Pelodiscus sinensis: one gene and its partner. The protein of the gene in region 2 purifies or fractionates together with the protein of the main gene of each other region. This does not show direct contact. Links are inferred from orthologs where the notes say so. Each region holds a gene or a part of one and is shown on either strand. Other genes may lie near its edges.

What was found. The genes of interacting proteins can lie anywhere in the genome.
Region 1: the proteins of ATP6AP2 (region 2) and ATP6AP1 purify together in Homo sapiens (affinity purification with mass spectrometry; 5 studies listed by BioGRID and IntAct, counting the BioPlex papers as one, with this or other methods). This does not show direct contact. The link is inferred for Pelodiscus sinensis from reciprocal best matches to the Homo sapiens genes ATP6AP2 and ATP6AP1.

What each region holds. Positions count from the first base shown.
Region 1 is NC_134711.1:40,836,570-40,846,385, reverse strand, and holds the start of ATP6AP1 (V-type proton ATPase subunit S1), read right to left. Parts: upstream 5,002-9,816; 5' UTR 4,740-5,001; intron 4,467-4,739; exon of another isoform or gene 4,353-4,466; intron 1-4,352. UniProt on the Homo sapiens protein: Accessory subunit of the proton-transporting vacuolar (V)-ATPase protein pump, which is required for luminal acidification of secretory vesicles.
Region 2 is NC_134711.1:195,336,922-195,347,459, forward strand, and holds the start of ATP6AP2 (renin receptor), read right to left. Parts: upstream 4,530-10,538; 5' UTR 4,425-4,529; coding exon 4,376-4,424; intron 2,430-4,375; coding exon 2,299-2,429; intron 991-2,298; coding exon 862-990; intron 1-861. UniProt on the Homo sapiens protein: Multifunctional protein which functions as a renin, prorenin cellular receptor and is involved in the assembly of the lysosomal proton-transporting V-type ATPase (V-ATPase) and the acidification of the endo-lysosomal system.

The sequences.
Region 1 (9,816 bases), about 150 Mb from region 2:
TCATTGTCTTCGGTCCATCCCTCCAGGGTCTCTAGTGTCGGTCGCTGTTGACAGACAGGCTACTGGGCTAGATGGACCTTTGGTCTGACCCAGTACGGACATTCTAAGCTCAGGGCTCAGGGTTGGGGGTCTCACTGGACCACCCTGATTTTCATGCAAACCTGCTCCTGGGTGGCCAGGCTGGCAGCTACCCTGCCCTAGACGGCCACTTTCCTGTGCCTAGTGCGGAGGTTGTGGATGAGGTCCACGATCTCTGCACTAGACCAGGTGGGCGCCTGCCTCTTGCAGACCTGGGCAGGCTCCCGGGAGCCACCAGCCTGGTCCCAGGAAGAGGCGGAGGGCTGGGTGGCAGCGGGTGGCTGGCTCGTGCCGTGCCAGATGCAGGGTCTGCTGGCTGGATGCTGGCAGGCTTGCACCTGGCACGGGCACCGTAGCCAGACCGTGCCCCTTTAAGGGCTCCGGGGCCGGGAGGGGGGCAGAAGAGTTTCCCTGGTGGTGCCCAGAGTAGCCACCAGGGAAAGCTGGGGAGGGCTAGCCTCCCACTAGTTCGAATTAAGTGGCTACACAGCCCTTAATTCGAACTACTTAATTCGAAGTAGGCGTTAGTCCTCGTAGAATGAGGTTTACCTAGTTTGAATTAAGTGCTCCACTAGTTCGAATTAAGTTCGAACTAGCGATTTGCCTGTGTAGCGCCTATCAAAGTTAATTCGAACTAACAGCTGTTAGTTCAAATTAACTTTGTTGTGTAGACATACCCTCAGTCTGAATCGGCTGCAGGTTTTTAATAACATTATAGACACGCTAGTAGGCTCTCATTCTTAACACAGGTGACAAACCGAGTGTGCTACAATCATGTCACCAACACCTAATTTCAGCCAGCAAATCCCAAAATCACTTTATTCTGGGTATAACTGGTGATGCTGACTGTACAAAAGGATTATGATTTTCTCTACTGATTCTAGGCTAGGTGACTCAAATATTTTCTCCGTCACAAGAGTTACTTTTGCTGCCAAATCAAGGTATTCTTATCCGGGTATCTTGAACTTTAATCTGAAAAAACGATCTTCTGGCAGGACTGTTCAGGATAAAGTCTTCTGGACAGAGGTTCCCTGAACTCCATATTAAGAGTAGATAATTCAGAATCAAAGGATTTTCCTGACACAAAACCCTCCTGCTAGCAGAATGACTTTTCATTCTAAATTACAAGAGGGTTGCTTTCATAGGTCAAATATTTTACTTCAGCCTGACAAATACTAAGGATCCAACCTAATGTGTTACTGGGTCCTAGTCAGCTAGCTGGAGGAAGTGGCTCCCATGTGGCGGCCAGGAAACTGGGACCTTCTTGTGCTTCCCGTCTTGCACTCCTTGTAATAAGGCCATAAATTGTTCTAGCTTGGTGTCAATCACCTACACCCTTGATCTTGGCCTGTTTATTTTGTCTTTTCAGAGTCCTACCATCTACAGTCTAAACTTTCTGTGGCTATGTTGGGCACACAAACCCTATTGGCTAAGACTCCCCTCCACCCCCACTCCCACCCAAGCCTTGACCCCCACATTTTATGGAGAATGGCTTCTTGTTGGAGATTAGGTCTCTGCCTTCAGCTGTAGCTCAGCTCTCCCAGGGTCCAGAGCATAACACTTAGAGATGTTAGTATGTAATTGAATAGTCATGTAATTGCATGCAATTTTAGCAGTTACACGACTATTCACTAGTCCCTGGGGGTGGAGCAGGCAGCCAGTGTACTTCCCACCCCACTTCCAGGGAGCTCCCTGCCACTCCCTGCTACTGACTCGCTATCAGAGGCAGTGTGGGATTGCAGGTGGGAACTGGTCCCCTAGTCTTCCAGAAAGTCTTTGACAAGGTCCCTAACCAAAGGCTTGTAAGCAAAGTAATCTGTCATGGGATGAGAGGAGAGGTCATCTCATGAGTTCATATCTGGTTAAAGGATAGGAAATAAAGGGTAGAAACAAGTGGTCAGTTTTCAGAATGGAGAGCGATAACTAGCAGTGTCCTGCAGGGGTCCATACTGGGACCAATCCTATTCAACATATTCATAAATGATCTGAAGAATAGGATAAAGAGTGAGGTGGCAACATTTGCAGATGATACTAAACTGCTCAAGACAGTTAACTCCAAAGGAGACTGTGAAGCTCTTCAAAAAGATCACACAATAGTAGGTGACTGGACAAGAAAATTGCTGATGAATTTTAATGTTGATAATGCAAAGTAATGCATATTGGAAAACATAATTGCAACTATATGTATAAAATGACTAATTTAGTTGTTACCACTCAAGAGAGAGATCTTGGAGTCATTGTAATTTTCTGAAAATATCAACTTAATGTGCAGCTGCAGTCAAAAAAGCAAACAGAATGTTAGGAATAATTTAAAAAGGGTTATAAAATAAGACAGAGAATATTTTATTGTCTCTATATAAATCCATGATATGTCCATATCTTGAATATTGCATGCAGATGTAGTTACCTCATCTCAGAAAAGATATCTTGGCACTGTAAAAAGTTCAGAAAAGGGGAAAAATGTGGACGTAATTGCCAGAGGAGGTTGTGAAGGCCAGGAATTTAACAGGGTTAATAAAGAACATGATGAACTCGTGGAAGGTAGGTCCAGAAATGGCTATTAACTAGGATGGGCAGAAATGTTGCCCCTACCCTCTGTTTGTCAGAAGCTGGGAATGGGTGGATCACTTGATGATTACCTGTTCTGTGCATTTCCTTTGGGGCATCTGGCATTAGCCATTGTCACGAGACAGGACACTAGAGTAGAAGGTCCTTTGGTCAGACTCACTATGTCAATTATTGTGTACTTACGTTCTTATGTGTGTATAACTAGACAGAAGGGCATATCAACAGGGTCCTACAAGGATCAGTTCTGATGCTGGTCAATATCTTCATCAATGGTTTAGAAAATGACATAGAGAATTAATTTATAGATGATGCCAAATTGGCTCATACCTGCTATCCCAGGTTGGATTAAAATATAAATGATCTGGACAAACTGGAGAAATGGTCTCAAGTAAATAGGATGAAATTTAATAAGGACAAAAGCAAAGTACTCAATTGAGGAAGAAACAATGAATTGCACACATTCAAAATGGGAAATGACTGCCTCGGACAGAATATTGCAGAAAGAGATCTGGAGGTCACAGTGGATCACAAGTTAAGTATGAGTCAACAGTGTAACGCTGTTGCAAAAAATGCCAATATAATTCTGTGATATATTAGCAGGAATGTTGTAAGCAAGAGACTAGAAGAAATTCTTCATCTCTACTCTGCACTGATATGGCCTCAACTGTGTCCAATTCTGGGTGCCATATTTCAGGACAAATGTGGATAAATTTGAGAAAGTCCATAGAAAAACAACCAAAATTATTAAAGGAATGTAAAATATGACTGTAAAAAAAAACTGAAAAAATTGGATTTGTTTAGACTGGAGAAGAGAAGACTGCAATGGGATATTATATCAGTTTAGAAGTACATAAAAAGTTGTTGCAAGGAGGAGGAAGAAAAATTGTTCTCTTTAACCTCTAAGGATAGTAAAAGAAGCATTTGATTTAAATTGCAGCAAGGACGGTTTAAGTGGACATTAGGAAAAATTCCTGTTGATTAAACAAAGACTGTGAATGGCTTGCTAACTACAAAAGCAGCTTCTGCTCTCTTGGAATTCACACCTCCAGATCAGCTACTAGAAGTGGGCCTCATCCTCCTTGATTGGATCCATCTCGTCATCTCCAGCGTGATCCTGGCCTGCATATTTATACCTGCCTCTGGAAATTTCCACTACATGCATCTGATGAAGTGGGTCTTTGCCCACAAAAGCTTATGCTCTTACACTTCAGTTAGTCTATAAGGTGCCACAGGACTCCTCGTCGCTTTTGCAGTTTCAGACTAACACGGCTACCCCTCTGATACTTTTGTTACAAAGTATCTTTTATTTTAAAAAATTATAAGTAACCCCAATGCACCCACCTCTCCCCCCAGAGCCAGCCCCTCATCAGCGTCCCCCCATCCCAATGCACTCACGCCTCCCACAGAGTCAGCCCCCCATCCCAAAGCACTCACCCCTCCCCCTGAGCCAGCCCTCCCAGTATCCCCCATCCCAATGCACTCACCCCTCCCCAGAGCCAGCCCCCCCCAGTGTCCCATCCCAAAGCACTCACCCCTCCCCCTGAGCCAGACCTCCCAGTGCCCCCATCTGAATGCACTCACCCCTTCCCCTGAATGAGCCCCTGCCCCTCAGTGCTGGGTGCACCCCTCCCCCCATCAAATCCTTCCCCCAGCCACCTCAGAGCCAGGCACAGGAGGAACGGAACAGCTGGGTAAGGGAATCTAACCTTTAAAGTGGCCGCTGCTGTCACCCGGCCCTTCTGCCTCAGCTCACAGACTGTAGAGAGCCTGAAGCACTTAGCCAACTCTCAGTCTCTGTTCAAAAGCATCATGTGGGCCAGAACAGCTGTGCGCTTCACTCCCAGCCCAGCGCCCCCTAATGTAGCACCAGGGGGCAACTGCCCTCCCCCAACCTTCTTCGCTACGCCTCTGGCGGATGGGAACACTTGCTCTCATCGGCCTCCTGCTGTGTGAACGGTGTGGAAATATGATTTAAAATACATCAACTCCAGCTATGTAGTTAACATAGCTGGAATTGAGTATCCTAATTTGAACTCCCACTATAATGTAGACCAGGCCTAAGTGGAAGTAAAAGTGAAAGAAATAACACTCACAATTTGATATTTCCAAGAGTGGTGACTAGCAGTCTTCTTCCATGCTTCAGGAAGCAGATTTTCCACAGGGAAAAGGGAAGATAGTTTGCTCTTTCTGTGACACCTGAAAGCTTTCTTGAAGGTAAAATGGAAATGTGAAGCTTTTTATCTTGCAGCTTTACCAAAACTCTTATGTGAATTCTCTGGTCTAGACTTCAGGTTCTGGCTTGCTGAAATAGTATGTTTCACTGAACTTCCCTAATTCTTTCAACAGGAAACTCCACCTCACTTTTTCAGCCTGTGAGAAAGGAACTTCCTTTTCCCTTTTTCAGCTTGTTAACTCTTTAAGAACCTTTTTATCTTAGACAGATGGGACACAAATATGCTATTCAAAAATGCCTCTACACTTTTTAAAAATATTTCTCTTCAAGTGACTAACATGGGCTTCTTGCCTGGTTTGCCAAATTTGAAATAACAAAAGGGCTTCCTAAACCTGAGTCAAATGATTTGTTAATGCTTCATCAAAGTCCCTTTAATTAAGAGTATTTTTACTTCATCATCATTTGAGAAAAACAATTTGTGTATTTGTATGGCCTTTAAAAGCATAAACATCAAAGACCAATCACATATATAGTAGCCCAGTGTCTGTGAGTCTGTAACACTGACGTACACGGCCATGCCCTATGTGTGTCAGCGCCCCGCCCCCCTTCCCCTCCTGCCAGGGTGCTCTGCTGAGTGCTGCCCTGCTCAGCTGGGCCCCAGCGGGGGAGCAAACGGTGGCAAGCACCGCTCCAGCTGGGCCCTGGTGGGAGGGGAAGGGGGGTGGGGCACTGATGTACACGGCCAGGGGGTGTGGCTGTGAATGTCACCACCCCGCCCCCCCTTCCCCTCCCGCAGTGGCACTCAGCTGGGCCGCTGCAGGGAACGTTTGGGCGGGAGGGGAAGGGGGGCGGGGCAGTGATGTACACGGCTCCGCTCCCTGGCCATGTTCATCAGTGCCCCGCCCCCTTCTCCTCTCCCTCCCCAGTGGCCCACTTCATTGGTGGGGGGGACCAGCCAAGAAGGGAGCAGTGCTGGCCGGGAAGGGGGGAGGCAACAGATGGGGGGGCCAACGGGAAGCAGGGCTGGTTGTGGGGGAGAGTCGGGCAGAACAGGGCTGGCCGTGGAATATCAGAGGGTGGGGGAGACCAGCCAGGAGGGGCCAGGGCTGGCCAAGAGTAAGGGGGGGTGGGAAGCACAGCTGAGGAGGATGGGGGCCACGAGGGTAGCTGGAAGAAAGGGTGGGGGTGGGAAGCAGAGCTGGCGGTGGGCGGGTGCAGTGGCGCTGGCCGGGGAAATCAGGAAGAGGAACGGGCCAGCAGGAAACAGAGCTGGGGGAGGCGATCGGGGGCCGGGAGGGTGGTCGGGAGGAAGGGGGAGTGGGAAGCACAGCTGCCAGAGGTGGGGAGAGGTGCAGCGGTGCTGGCGGGGAGATCAGGAAGAGGAACAGGCCGGTGGGAAGCAGAGCTGGGGGGTAGCTGCAGGGGGGCTGGCCAGGGAAGATCAGGAGGGGAAGTGGGGGAGAACCGGCCGGCTGGGAAGTGGGGGTTGAGCAAATTGGCAGGCGGGGAGAGGGACTGACCTGGGCACTTGCTGCCTGTCCCGCGCAGGGTCCGGGAAAGGCACGAGCGAGGAGGAGGCTTCCCCTCCTCCTCACACTCAACCGACTAAGGGCTCCCAGAGGCAATTGCGGTCCTGTCTTCCAGCTGGGACTCCCAGCCGCTCCCTCTGTCCATGCCAGGCAGAAGAGAGAGTTACTCACCTTGTATAGTACCTGAGGGTACATCTACACTAGCTCATTAGTTCGAGGTAGGTAGGGTAATGAGGGCAAGCGGAGTTGCAAATGAAGCTCGGGATTTAAATATCCCAGGTTCATTTGCATGTTCCCGGGCACCACCATTTTTAAATCCCCCTTAGTCCGAACTCCGTGCCCGCGGCTACACACGGCATGGACTAGGTAGTTCGAATTAAAGATCCTAATTTGAACTACCGTTACTCCTCATTCCACAAGGAGTAACGGTAGTTCAAATTAGGATCTTTAATTTGAACTACCTAGTCCGTGCTGCGTGTAGCTGTGGGCACGGAGTTCGAACTAAGGGGGATTTAAAAATGGCGGCGCCCGGGAACATGCAAATGAAGCCCGGGATATTTAAATTCCGGGCTTCATTTGCAACTCCGCTTGCCCTCATTACCCTATCTACCTCGAACTAACGAGCTAGTGTAGCCGTACCCTAAGGTTCTTTAAGATGGTTGTCTGTGTGGATGTTGCACCTTAGGTGTCTGGCGTGCCTCTGTACCTTTAGATGGAGAATTTAAGTAGCAGTGCCCTTGGAAGGCTGTTCATGCAGGGCAGCCAGCATGTACTAGTGCAGCTACTCTGCATGCGCAGCCAACTGTCCCTTCAGTTCCCTGTCTGCCACAGAAATTGGTGACTGTGCAGCAGAGGGGAAGAAGGGCAAGTGATGGAGCACCCACAAAGACAACTGTAAGGGGACTGTTACCCCTTACTAAAACTCTGTGGGAGTTTTTGGTTTACCAGCTTCAGAAGGGGAAGGGTTCATGAGACTGACAGACCCCAGAGACAATGGAAAGCAGTCAACACTCCAGCTCAGCCTGACTGACAGGTTGTAAGTGGGGATTGTTCTGGCTCTGTCTCTGAACAAACAAGCTGTGTGCAGAAGAGGTCCTGCAAAGACAGAGAGCTGAAAGAGGAGTACAAGAAGAAGTCCTGCAGTGACAGAACCAGACACAGACAGGCCAAGCAGTGCAGACCCTGTGTTGAGCAGCAGACTGGCAGTGCTCAGAAAGCCAAAAGGAACAGAGAAACAACACAAGGAGCTGGAACTGGCCAAGCAGCACAGCCTGCAGCTGGATGTGGTGAGCTACTGGGACCTGCAAAGTGTGGGGAAAGGCTCTGGACTGGGAGAGGGGTCTGGCCACTTAGAGACTGAGGCTGTGTGGTCACTGCCAGTGCAAGCGTGTCCAGCCTGCAGCCCCTTGCAGCACATCCAGGGCTTCTAAGGAAGAGACTGTGAACTGTCCTTACACTCTGCAGACTGCTGTGTTGATGTCCCTGTGCTACAGAGCAGGGCTGTGTGTTCTCATTTAACCATTCTCATTGTTTCTTATTCTATTCTCTTTAATCAGTTGATGTTTAATAAATTGTATTTGCTTTGAACCTTATGAAGTGATCACTGGGCCAAGAAGGCCTGCAGTGTAAAGAGAGCACCTCGGAGTGGGGACACCCTAACTCCAGCCCCTAGTGACTACAAGGTCAGGGATTAAGCCCCAGGAAACCTGGGCCCAGCCTTGTTGGGGTTTCAAGGGCTCTGCTACTCAGGAGAGTGGAGGGGGAGCCCTCAGGATCAGGGAACCGTGGGGTAAAGGAAGTGGGAGCGGGGACTCAGATCCTTTCGCTGCTTCATTTCACCGGGGTGTATAGAAGCCAGGAAAGTTCCCCACAAGAGCGGGACCATTCCCCCGCTTACACAACCATTTTGAAGAATTTCAGTTTTTCTTTGAGGAACGTCCCCGTGGGAGCTTCATCTGATATCACTATGAAGCAGTACTTGTACTCGGAGGAGGGAGCTTCAGTTCATCGCTATCATGTATGGTGGCTAGTATTGTCTGGTTGAAGTGAGTGCTATGTGATAGGTAAGTTTCAAGTGGCAGCTCTACAAATGTCTGTCAGAGATGTTTTGTTCAGGTATGCTGTAGAGGTTGCCATTGCTCTTGTGGAAAGAGCATGTAGCTGTAGCGGAGGGTCCTGCCTGAAGGTACGGTAAGCCACTCTTATACAGTCAGAGCTCCATCTGGACAGCCTCTTTTTGGAAACTGGCATGCCCCTCGATCTTTCCATAATTGATACAAATAATCTTGGTGAGTTGCATATCTGTCTACTTCTATCTAAATAAAATGTGACTGCCTTGTAGACATCCAGTGTGGGTAGAGCAGCCTCTCCGCTACCAATAGTCCCTGACTTACGAATTAGTTACGTACCAAGCATTTGGTTGTAACTCAATCTGTTCGTAAGTAGGACCCCATTCATTTCAATGGGACCACGCTGTTCATAAGCACGGATTGTGTTCGTAACTCGGGGCTGCGCTTAATGGGAGGTTGGTCATAAGGACGAATGGTCATAAATCGATGCATTCGTACCTTGGGCACTACCTGTATCTGCATGGGGTTTCAGGAAGAAGACATGTAAGTAAATGGGTTCATTACAATGGAAGGGAGTTGGGACCTTCATGAGGAATTTGGGATATGGACAGAGAATGACTTTGACAAAGTCATACCAGTGTGCTTGGTACCGAGGTGACTTGTAGTTCCTCGCTGGTCCTGCAGTTGTCGATGCTGGAGATGGTGCCAGTGCTGATGGGGCTTGCTATGCCATTGGTGCTGAGTGCTTGTGTTTCTTCACTGCTAGGGGCAGCATGAAAGTGCTTGGTACTGAGCTGGAGCACAGCTTTTTTGGTGCCCATGAAGATTATTAAGGTATCGGCAGTGCCAACTTAAACTTTGACTTGCTCGGTACCTTAGAGCTGGCCCTAGTAGGGTTCTTAGCCCCTTGGGACATGTCAGTGCCTGATGGTCCTGGTGCCTCTCACTCCAGAGCCTTAGGTTCTGCTGGTACCAAAAGCATTTTTTGAGGTGATGCCCACTTTTTTGAGGGGGAGTCACCTCTGGAAGTTGAATGGGCTGGCTTCTTGGATTGCTGCTCCAATGCAGAGTCCCTGGTGCTTAATCCTTAGGGAGCTGGTTTTTCTGACACTGCCAACAGGGATGGCTGCCTGGGTGGTGTTGAGTGTTCAGGATCAGATGCTGGTCGTATAGTGTTTTCCAATAGGAGCAACTCCACCTGGAGCTCCCTGGCCCTTTCTTGCATGTGCTATGAGCTGCTTACAATGTTCACACTGTAGACAATTGTATCTTGTCTGAAATGGATATGGAAAGCTTGCAGGACAGGCAGCATTTGAAACCTGGGGAACCAGGCATCCCAGGAAGAAAAAACAGAAAAAAGGGGAAAAGGTCCAAACTAATAAAGAAAAAACTTTAAAAA
Region 2 (10,538 bases):
AAGCCGCGGAGGGGCTCTGGCGGGCGGGCAGCCCATGCGCGCCTGGGATGCCCAGCCGCCGGCTTCCCCGAGGCTTTCAAAGCCGCGGAGGGGCTCCGGCGGGGGGGAGCCCAGGCGCTCCTGGCGGCTTTGCTCCCGGTGCCTCTGGTCTGCTGGGGACCATCTCCAGCAGACCAGGGACACCGGGAGCAAAGGAGGCGGAAGGGCGCTGGGGTATAAGATGAAACCCTATCTTTTAATTAAAAAGATAGGGGGTCGTCTTATACACCCAGTCGCCCTATACGCCGGAAAATACGGTAGTTAAAGATTTAAAGGGAACCTGTTTAATTTATCAAAAAAATTGAAAGGTGACTTAAGTACCCAGTTTAAGTATTTTCACATGGAGAAGACATCAGGTATGTTAAAGGGCTCTAACCTAGCAGAGGAAAGCACAAGAGCCAATGGTTGGAGGCTGAAGTCAGGCAAATTCAAGCTGGAAATGAGACAATTTTTTAACAGCGAGGGCAATTTTAACATTGGAACAAACTACTAATAGTAGTAGTGGATCTTTCATTTCCTGATGTCATCAGAACAAACCTAGATGCTTTTCTGGAAGACATGCTTTAGTCAAACAAGTTATTCAACTCAACGCCAAGATAACTCAGTGAAGTTTACTGTGATATCCAGGAAGTCAGATTCAATCTAATGGTCCCTCCTGGTCTTAATTCTCTGAATCCATGAAAAGCTATGTGACTGACATAAAAAGCGTAACTGGTGAAAAGTTAGTTTTTGGAGGGTTTTTTGAACACCAAGGAATACTTTCAATATGAACAGAAGTATAAACAACAGAGGGATAAAAATAAAAAAACTGCAGATACTTACATTCTCAACAGGATAAGAAACTCCATCTTTAGGCATCACCAGCTTGTCTACTCCCTTTACAGTCACAAGAACAGTAGCGCGAGGACGATGGAATATATCACCCACTGCAAGCCCAGGCCAGGAAAGATCCTGGAAACAAATTTTAAAGCAAAAACTTTTGTTTAGCTTTTAAATCAAAGGAAAAAGAAACAGCTCAAACAATATCAAAAGATTAATGCAGAGAATCTGCAGTGGTATATGACTCTTGATTGGAAAACCCACTGGAAACTTAGTAGGGAATCTAAACATTTGAAACGATTCTTCACCCCACAAAAAATTGTGGTCCCCCCCAGGATGTTTCTTCATTAATTCCGTATGAGAAAGCCCTCCACAACTTTACTGTAAGAAAAAGCGCCGTTCACATACTGTGCAATGTTGACTTAACTGCTTTGTAGCTACTAAATCAGATTTCACAGCCAAAACTGTTAAATTCCACAAGATTCACTGAACAAGTCCATTTACTACAGTAGTGATATTAAAAGCAACTTCCCATGATTTGAAGAACTCTGTAGGCTTCTCTAGAATGCACCTTGCTGGAGGAATATTTTTACTCAAATACATGTTTGTGATTGAATAATATCTAGTCACAAAGGAAAATACATTGCCATGATGTTTCTGATACAACTATAAACAATAAAAGGTTAATGATTCTGACATTCAAGATAGATCGATCAAAGGCCTAATTACTATATTGATATCTACTTTCACTCCGTGTATTTGTTTTTCTGAGAAGAGGATTTGGAGAGTTCTCCTTCCCCATTCTTGACATTCTGTTCTTTGTAGGAAGGGAAACAAGGGGCAGCCAATTTTGGGTGGATCCAAGGGACCTCACAGTTAAGGGGGGGGGGGGGGGGAATACCAACCTTAGAAGAAAGAACAGACTGCCACAAAGAGTATACATTTTCCCATTTCATATCCCAGATACCCCAGGAAGAGCAGCGTGTGAAAAATCAAGATGCCTCTTTTGCCAAAGAGCATTTGATTTTACCTTGTGCCTCAAGCAGACATTCAGCACGCAGAGTACATGATCAACCCTAATCAGTGTAATGGATTAAATTACCAGAACTATTCTATATAAGTTCTGCTCTTAATTTCAAGATAGCAAGTGTCAACAGGGTGTTTTCATAGTCCAAAAGACAGAACACAAATGGCCCAGTAGACATTTTATTGTTAAACATTTATATTGCAGTTAGGCCGTTAATAACAGTTTCGTTGGAGAAGAGGGAGACCACGAGTTAGATTCCCGAGGTTTCTGAATTTCCTCTTAGTCCGTCTTACTAGTTCCTACTTTATTTCTACCACATTTAAAAAAAAAAATCTGTGCACAACTATAATTCAAAGCTCTCCAAACCAACTAATGTGAATTTTACAGCTTTTTCAAAATAAAAATAAACATACTTCTTCAACAGAAAAGCCCATGGATAATGCTGCTATGTCTGGGATCCGCTCCCCTGGTATTGGCCAACTTCCATCTCGGAAAATGACAGATTGTGGTGATCGTAAGACACTAAATTCATCACCGGAAACACCTAAAAAGAGAAATAATAGACAGGCAAGTCTGGTAAAGCATGTATCAGAAGGACAGCAATGTTAGTCTGTTCCTGCAAAAACAATAAGGAGTCCTGTGGCACTTTAAAGATTAAACAGATTTATTTGGCCATAAGCTTTTATGGGCAAAGACCTACTTTGTCAGATGCGTGAGTAAAGCATGTGTTTCTTAAAACCTTGTGAGCAGACATGAATTGTAACAAACTCTTTCTGATTTTCAGCCTTCCAATGCACATATCTACCAAGTTAAGAGAGACAGCTAAAGAGAGTCATTAATTTCAGGTATCAGGACACCATGGAAAATTCCAGTATAGAGTTGTGTATAGATAAATTAAGGTATCAAACAAAGTGAAGACACAAATGCATAAAAGAGACTCTATTGCTAAATTATTCAATTAGGTATACCATTTTGACCTTGTGGGTAGGGGGAGGGTATGCTCCAAAACCTAGTTCAGAATCAAATTCTATGTGAGTGTTGACAGTAAATACATGCCATATTATGATATATACACCAACAGAACAGTGTGATTCAAGGATGTGCACCTAATTCAAACAAAAATTTCACATTGTTGCCTTCAAAACAATGACACAGGCAGAAGAACAAAGGAACAGGTCAATCTACAGACATTTGTCAAATGCATTTTTTTATTGATAGCAGCTCATCTTGCTGAGCAGCTGCAGTTTTAGTTGAGTAGCAACCCTCCTTCCTAGGGACTATTTTCCTGGGTCAATGAGATGGGGCAAACTATAGTCAGGTTAACAATAATAATATTGGTAGCCTGTTGACTTAAATATGTTTATTTACTACTTTACAATAGGCATGTAAAATCTTGATCAATCAGCTAATTGATTAAACATTAGGTTAACTAACTAAGCACTGACTCCTGGCCCCAGCCACAACACGCTGGCTGTGCTGGGGTTAGAGCAGCCTTCCAGCGGCAGCAGGTTTCAGGGAGGCTGGAGGGGAAAAGGGGCTGCTCCTGGGAACCAGCTTACTGTTACCCAGTCACATCTCTACTTTTCAAGCTACCAGACATTCACACAATTTACTTTGTGCAATTTGGCTTAGATATGCTATGTGACATTGGATTTTTTTTAAAAAGAAAAAGCTCTATTTTCCTTGCCAGGTTGTCAGGCACAAATTAGTTAAGTAACTTGTTCAAGGTCACAGTGAAACAAAAACTGCATTTCGGGATCCAACCGTTTTTCCAGCTATGCTATAATCATTTGACCAAAATGACTCATTGAGCTAAGCAGTCAGTTAAACCTGCAACACAGCTGTGGGTTGCAAGTCATCAAGCATATTTCTATCTGAACATCCAAGGGGTAATGTAATCACAAAGAGTCACTTTCTGGGTTAAGAGGAAACTCTTCGCTAGGCCAGAAATTTCTAGCATTAACACTTGGGGTCACGCCTATAACACTGACGTCTCAACTTGCGGCCCTCAAGGGCAGCTGTGTGAAGAGAGACGGTCCGTGTCCCATACCGAGGGCACTTTTTGAGCCAAGTCCCTTGGAAAGCCCAAGCGCAGCACCTCCGAGGAGCGCGGGGACGGCTCCCAACCGCGGCTGTAGAGAAGGGCTGGGCATAGCTCGGGCATCAATTCCTAACGCGGGCGAGGCACGAAGCACCTGGGGACCGCGAGAACCCCCAGGGCCGGGGTGCCGATGCGGCTGCCCGAGCGCGCTCGGCGGCACCGCCAGGCTCGGCTGCAGGCACCCGCGGCCGGGTCACGCGCGAGGAGCCGCCCGGCTCGCCCCGGGAAGAGCCGCCGCCGGCTCCGAGGGGAGTCACGGGGGCGGCGCCGCAGCCAGCGGGGCACAAGAACCGGCAGCGCCGGGCCCCGAACCCGCCTCCCGCTGTTCCCCAGCGCTACCGCCCCGCGTGCCGCGCCAACGGCCCTGGGCCCCGCGCTCTGCCCCCTACCAGCCAGGAACGCCGCCAGGGCCCCGAGCAGCATCCCGGCCCGCCCCATCCCGCACCGCCGCAGCTGGGAGACTGAGCCGAGCGCCGCCGGCCTCCCACACCCAGGCCACAAATCCCGCCCCTTGGATCTGCTGACTGACAGCCCCGCCAGCCACTCACAGAGCGCCCGTCCGGTCGTTCCGTGGGATGAGGGGCGGGGTTTTTCTCTGAGTGACAGGAAATCCGACCACTCATAGTGGTCCCCTTTCACCTCTTCGCAGTACGCCACTGCCCCGGAACTTACAGCCCGCCCCTGAGAAGGAGGCGGTGCTTTTCTTTGAATGACACCCGACGTGGCCGTTTAAACTGTGAGGGATCTCCGCACAGCCAGTCACTACCGCCTGGGCGGGGTCTCTGCAGCAGGAAATGGGATTGTCTCATAAATGACAGCTGATGTGACCACTCACAGTAGCGATAGAGATGCAGCCGAGTTAGGCTGGTGTAGCGGAAACAAAAGAGAGGCCCATGCAGCACCTTAGAGCCGTGGTCCCAACACGGTGCCCGCGGGCGGGGGCATTCGTGTGCGCCCGCCACGTGTTCGGGGCTGGCCTGGCCCCGGGCGCGTGGCGCTTGGGGCGGGGGGCGCCGGCCCCGGGCGCAGCTATGGGGGGGGGGCGCGCGGCTATGGGGGGCCCCGTCCCCGCCCCCTGGCGCCCGGCCACCACCACAGGTTGGGGACCCCTGCTTTAGAGACTGGCAAGATGGTTCATTAGGCGATGAGCTTGCGTGGGCCAGACCCGCTTCCTCAGATCAACTAGTGGAAGAGAATTGGCATGAGCAGAAAAGGCCCTTTTCATACGTGCTCACTTTTTGTGACTGTAGCCCGTTCAGTGTCCCCAACCTTTTGGGGCTGCCGGGCGCCCAGGGCCGGGGCTGCTCACATGCCGGGCACGCGGGGGCGGGGCCGCCCATATGCTGCATGCCTGGAGCTGGTGCCACCCATGCGCCAAACGCCCAGGGCCGGGGCCAGCACTGACCTCTCCCGCGCCCCCGGGGGTGGGGCCGCCTAACCGCCGCGCGCCCAGGGCCGGCACTGACCATGTGCTGAGCGCCTGGGGGCGGGTTCGGCCCCGATCATTTGACAGGTGCACAGAAATGGGTCGGTGGGCGCCATGGTGCTTGCGGGCACCGCATTGGGGACCACGGGTATATATGGTCATGCCTATTTTCTTCCACAATTTGATCTGAGGAAATGGGTCTGGCCCACAAAAGCTCATCACCTAATAAACCATCTTGTTAGTCTATAAGTGCTACATAGTCCTGTTTTTCACTCACAGTAAGGGAGATACCTGCCTCTCTCCTTTTACCCCCTCCCCACCATAATAGGGCAGGTGACAGGCTTTGCAAGTCAGGCATTAATTTGATTGACAGTTAAGTTAACCACTCACAATGTAAGGGAGTGCCGCTCCACCCTCTACTATACAGCAGTGTGGAAAGGGTCAGGTGAGAGTGTGAGGGGCAGCTGAGGTCTGCTCTCAGCATGGGGGCATCCAGCCATTTCCTGGCTCGGCCATGTGTCTGCTCAGGGCAGGGGCTCTGTAGCCCTGACTGCTGCCCTAATCCCGCCTCCTCCGGGAATGATGTGGGCCGGTGACAGTTGCTTTGTGGCAGCGCTGCCTGTGGGGCACTGAGATTGGGGCAGCCGCTGGGCTGTACATGGGCCTGACTGTAGTGAAGGGGAGTGGGAGCTTGGAAACAACGCCCAGCATCCTTCAGCATGTTCTCAGCCTTTGCTCATGGCTCTGGCGGCCTTCTCGATGCAGTGACTGATTCTTATTGGTCGTAGGAAGGTGCTGTTGGTACATGAGCCCTGCTTCTGTGTGGTGGTCATAACCGGTGTAGCAAGAGTTCGATAACCCTCATAGGTTTGGATAGTATGAAGGACTAGCTTCCTCACACAACTGTGTGAGTTATGACTGTGTTGGCACATTCATTTCGGCAATGTTGGCTGACCTAATGCTTACAAATTCAAAAAGAATTGCAAGGTCAAAAAAGAGCTAGATAGTCATGGACGGGTCTATCCTCCATGAATCTATTCGCCAGGATGGGTAGGAATGGTGTCCCTTGCCTCTGTTCATCTGGAAATGGATGACAGGAGAGGGATCACGAGATGATTGCCTGTTGTGTTCTTTCCCTCTGGGGCATCTGACATTGGCCACTGTTGGCAGACAGGATACTAGGCTAGTTGGAGTTTTGATCTGACCCAGTATGGCCAGTCTTATGTAGATAACAGTTTGAAATTGAGGTCTTAATGAGCTCTCCACTGATCTTCAGGACCTGACTGTATTTACATAAATGCACCTACTTTGCCTATGTATCCAGCAGACTAGTTGTGTTGCCCACATAATCAATTTTGGCTGTTGTTAGGTTACAAATTACCTTTTGCTTTCCACAAGCTGCACTTCATTTAACTTTTTATGTGTGATATAGCCAAATATTTGGATGATAGTATTTAAACTGTAATATTAAATTAACTTTAACTTGGGATGTTGCAGATCATGTACTTTATTTACTTTAAGACTTTTCAAACCAAATTTTATACTTTTGGATAATTTAAGTATTGTACCCATATGTATAAAAAGCTTTTCTTGTCTGTATATTAGATCATTTTAATGTTAACTTTAATAAAAAAATTAAATTGAAGGTAGGGATAATGAAATGTTGTTATCCCTATTGTATGAGTAAAGGGCAGAAAATTTGTACTTAGCCTGCCCTGATTAAGGGGCCAGTCTCAACTTCTGCTTCTGTAATTTCCACTCTAGTTCATCTGATGAAGTGAGTTTTACCCATGATAGCTTATGCCCTAATAAATCAGATAGTATCTAAGGTGCCATAGGGGTCTTTGTTTTTGAAATCACCAAGTAAAGAGTTCAGATGCCAGATTCCAGTGGAGAGTGAGGACTGTTGTTTTGGCTAGTAGTATGGGCCCTGCCTAAGAGTCATAGGTATCATTTGATCTGCCTCTCTTCTGTTTAAAGATAGAGTTGATTGGGCTCCATTGAGAAGCTTTTGTTTTGTTAAGGGACACTAGAGCTGATAAACAGATATAAGTGCTTAGACCTTCCATGAAATAATGTTTCTGTGGAAGACTCTGCCTAGACTGCACTAGCAGGGAGGTTTTCCCACTCTGAGCTGAAATCGTTGAGAGCTGGCTGGTACCGCAAGAGACCAATGTCTTGTGTATACTACTGCAGGCCATCGACCCAAGTGACACAACTTCAGCTATGTGAATAATATAGCTGAAATCAATGTACTTAGATCTGTTTACTGCGGTAAGATGACAGCTGACACTCTCTTATCAACTCTGCCTACTCTTCTCATTTTGGTAGAGTACCAGATTTGACAGGAAAATGCTCATTGGTCGATTTATCACATCTATACTAGACACAATAAATTGACTCTCGCTGGATTGATTGCTGCCCATCGATCCAGTAGGTAGTGAAGACATGCCCAACTCACAGAGGTCACAGGAGCGAGGCATGTGGCAGCAGAAGGTAATAGTGCAAGGCTAAGTTCCCTCTAAGCTGCATGACTGCACAGCTATTTTCTGAGCCCCCTCAGAGGTTCACAGCTCCTGCACAGGCAGGGAGATCAGCTGACTGGCAGGGGGGTAGTGGGGTGTCTCTAAGCAGCAGCTAAACAGAGCTGCTGCATGCTGAACAGAAGAACTCCCAGAGCAGATAAGCAGGACACACCTGTCTTGGGGGAGGGAATAATTAATTAATTTGCTTGGGGGAGCGGGAGTTTTGAGAGTCCTGTCTGCCCCAGGAGGGAAAGAAAGAGAGAGAAAGGAAGACAAAGGCAGAAACCCAGCACTCTGTTCAATCCTCCTGGGCTGGGAAGGGGGAGGTAAGGGAATGACTGCATGGGGTAGGTGGGGGAAGAGAGGCTGGTGGGTGCTGGCATCTGTGCAGGTAGATGGAGGTAGGGGGCAGTTTGTTAGGGTGTCCTGATTTACTTGCAGCAGTCCTTTCTGGCTGGGTTGGAGGGAGTGGGGGAAAGCAGGCTACATGGCAGGGGTTGTGTGCCAGGAGAACATTTTCATGATTACATTTCAAACAAAGTTTACAGAGGTGTTAATGGCTCAAGGTAAGAAAGAGATTTTTAACACTTTTTTTGGAGTGTTGCATCTATCTAAAATTCGGATCTTAATGTTTTTTTAAAATCCTGTGTTACTAATTAATACATGGTAGATTGTATTGCATTAATTAATACATGGTAGATTGTATTGCTTACTAATTAATACATGGTAGATTGTATTGCTTACTAATTAATACATGGTAGATTGTATTGCATTAAGGTCAGATCTTTGCTATGTGGTAGAGTTTTGACTCTTATGAATCAGAAATAAAAAGTACTAGGTGTGATGCTAGTTTTGTAGAATGAAACCTTATTTGCAAGCTTTTTGAAACATGCATCTGTCTACAAACTCTGAAGCCATGTGTTAATTTCCTACCTTTGTACAGAACCTTTGTAGTCATTAAGGGTACCTTACAGCAACTAGACACAGGTGTCTTGTTTTAATATATCTTTCTTCCATACATATGGACTGCTTAAAATATATATATTTGTAATGTATGTGTTTTGTTTGTAATGGTGGTGCACATCCATACACTACCTCAATATTGGTGTTGTACATAAGAAAATTCAAGCTGCCCAAGGAAAGAAAATGTTAGAGGGAATTCTGGTGCAGAGCCATTGACAATTAAGTAGATGATGGAACAGTGGCACAATGAACAACAGCAGTAAGTTCCCTGTAAGCTGAGCCTTTGAGTGGCTACCCAGGAGAGATTCTACTGCTGCCCAATTGACTAGCAGAGCACCCACAGCTAGCAGCATGGATTACTACTGATGGTGCACATATGCATATGCCTTGGTGCACATAATAAAATGTAATCAGTACATGGAAGAAAAAAATGAGAAGGAACATTGAGCAGCAGTTGGAACAATGAACCAAAGTGTCTTCTACCCTTCTCTTCAACCCTGATTCTCCAAGGTGGAAGATGAACTCAGGCAAAAATACCTTTGAACTCTGGGTCCCCACTGACCAAGGATTATGAGTGGGAAGGGGAATGTTAAAGGAACATTTGTTTGTTGAACTATATTTTAGTGACTTTGCTCCAGAATGTTAGATTTCTGGCAGGGAAACTTGTATAAATGTGTTTCCCAGGGGACAAAGATTTTTAAAATGCACCATTGTTATCTCAAGAAGTCATTATCTTGAGGAGTTTCTGTATTAAACATTTTTATTTTTACACTATAAATTATTTCAAAAGTCATTTACATTAAATACAGTTATGATATAGCTTAGAAATCTAAAAACTATTATGTTTTAGTGAAATTTGTATTGTTATGTTCAATTTGCATTATCCTAATAAAACTTACATTTTATTTATATTCTGTGTGTTTCAGGTCAAAGTGAAGATAAAACGCTTAAAAAAGCTAAACAATTTTTCTACTCAAAAGCCTAAAAAATAATCAAGATGAAAAACATACTAAGAAGCAAGAATATGCGTACATGTCACATCAAGTTTCAAGTGGTATATATACATCTAAACAGCCCACAGCACAGTTACATCTGAAGAAAAAGTGTCTCTACAACCTAACTATAGTTCCTGGTTACTGCATGTCAAAATTTTCCCATTTCTTGAAGTTACAAAAGACTGGTGTATCTCATGGAAAAGAGCTTATGCTTATGCTCAACAGTAGTAGATTTTTTTTTTATGCAAGTGCAGGTTTTGTTGCTGGATAATCGGAGGAATATCCATTGAAAACAAATGGGAAGAATCAAAGACTTCATTAGGTCTGGACTGAAGACACTTGAATCCTTAAGTGAAGGGGACAAGAAACATTGTTTTAAAGCCAGCTGAAAATGTACACAGACTTGATTTGAAATAATCATTAGCAGTGACTTCTGGAGTCTAATGAACCTCTATGTAGCTGTTACATATACCTGTTTTATAAAACACCTCCAGTTGCGTGGAGTGAAGCATTACCAGCAGTAGAGCTATTATGTGATCAGGACAGGGAATTTGAATACAGAGTGGAATATCATATAACAAATAAAGATTTGACTTCTGCTTCCTTTGTTTTATCATCACTAACAGCTTGACCTGCTCTTTGT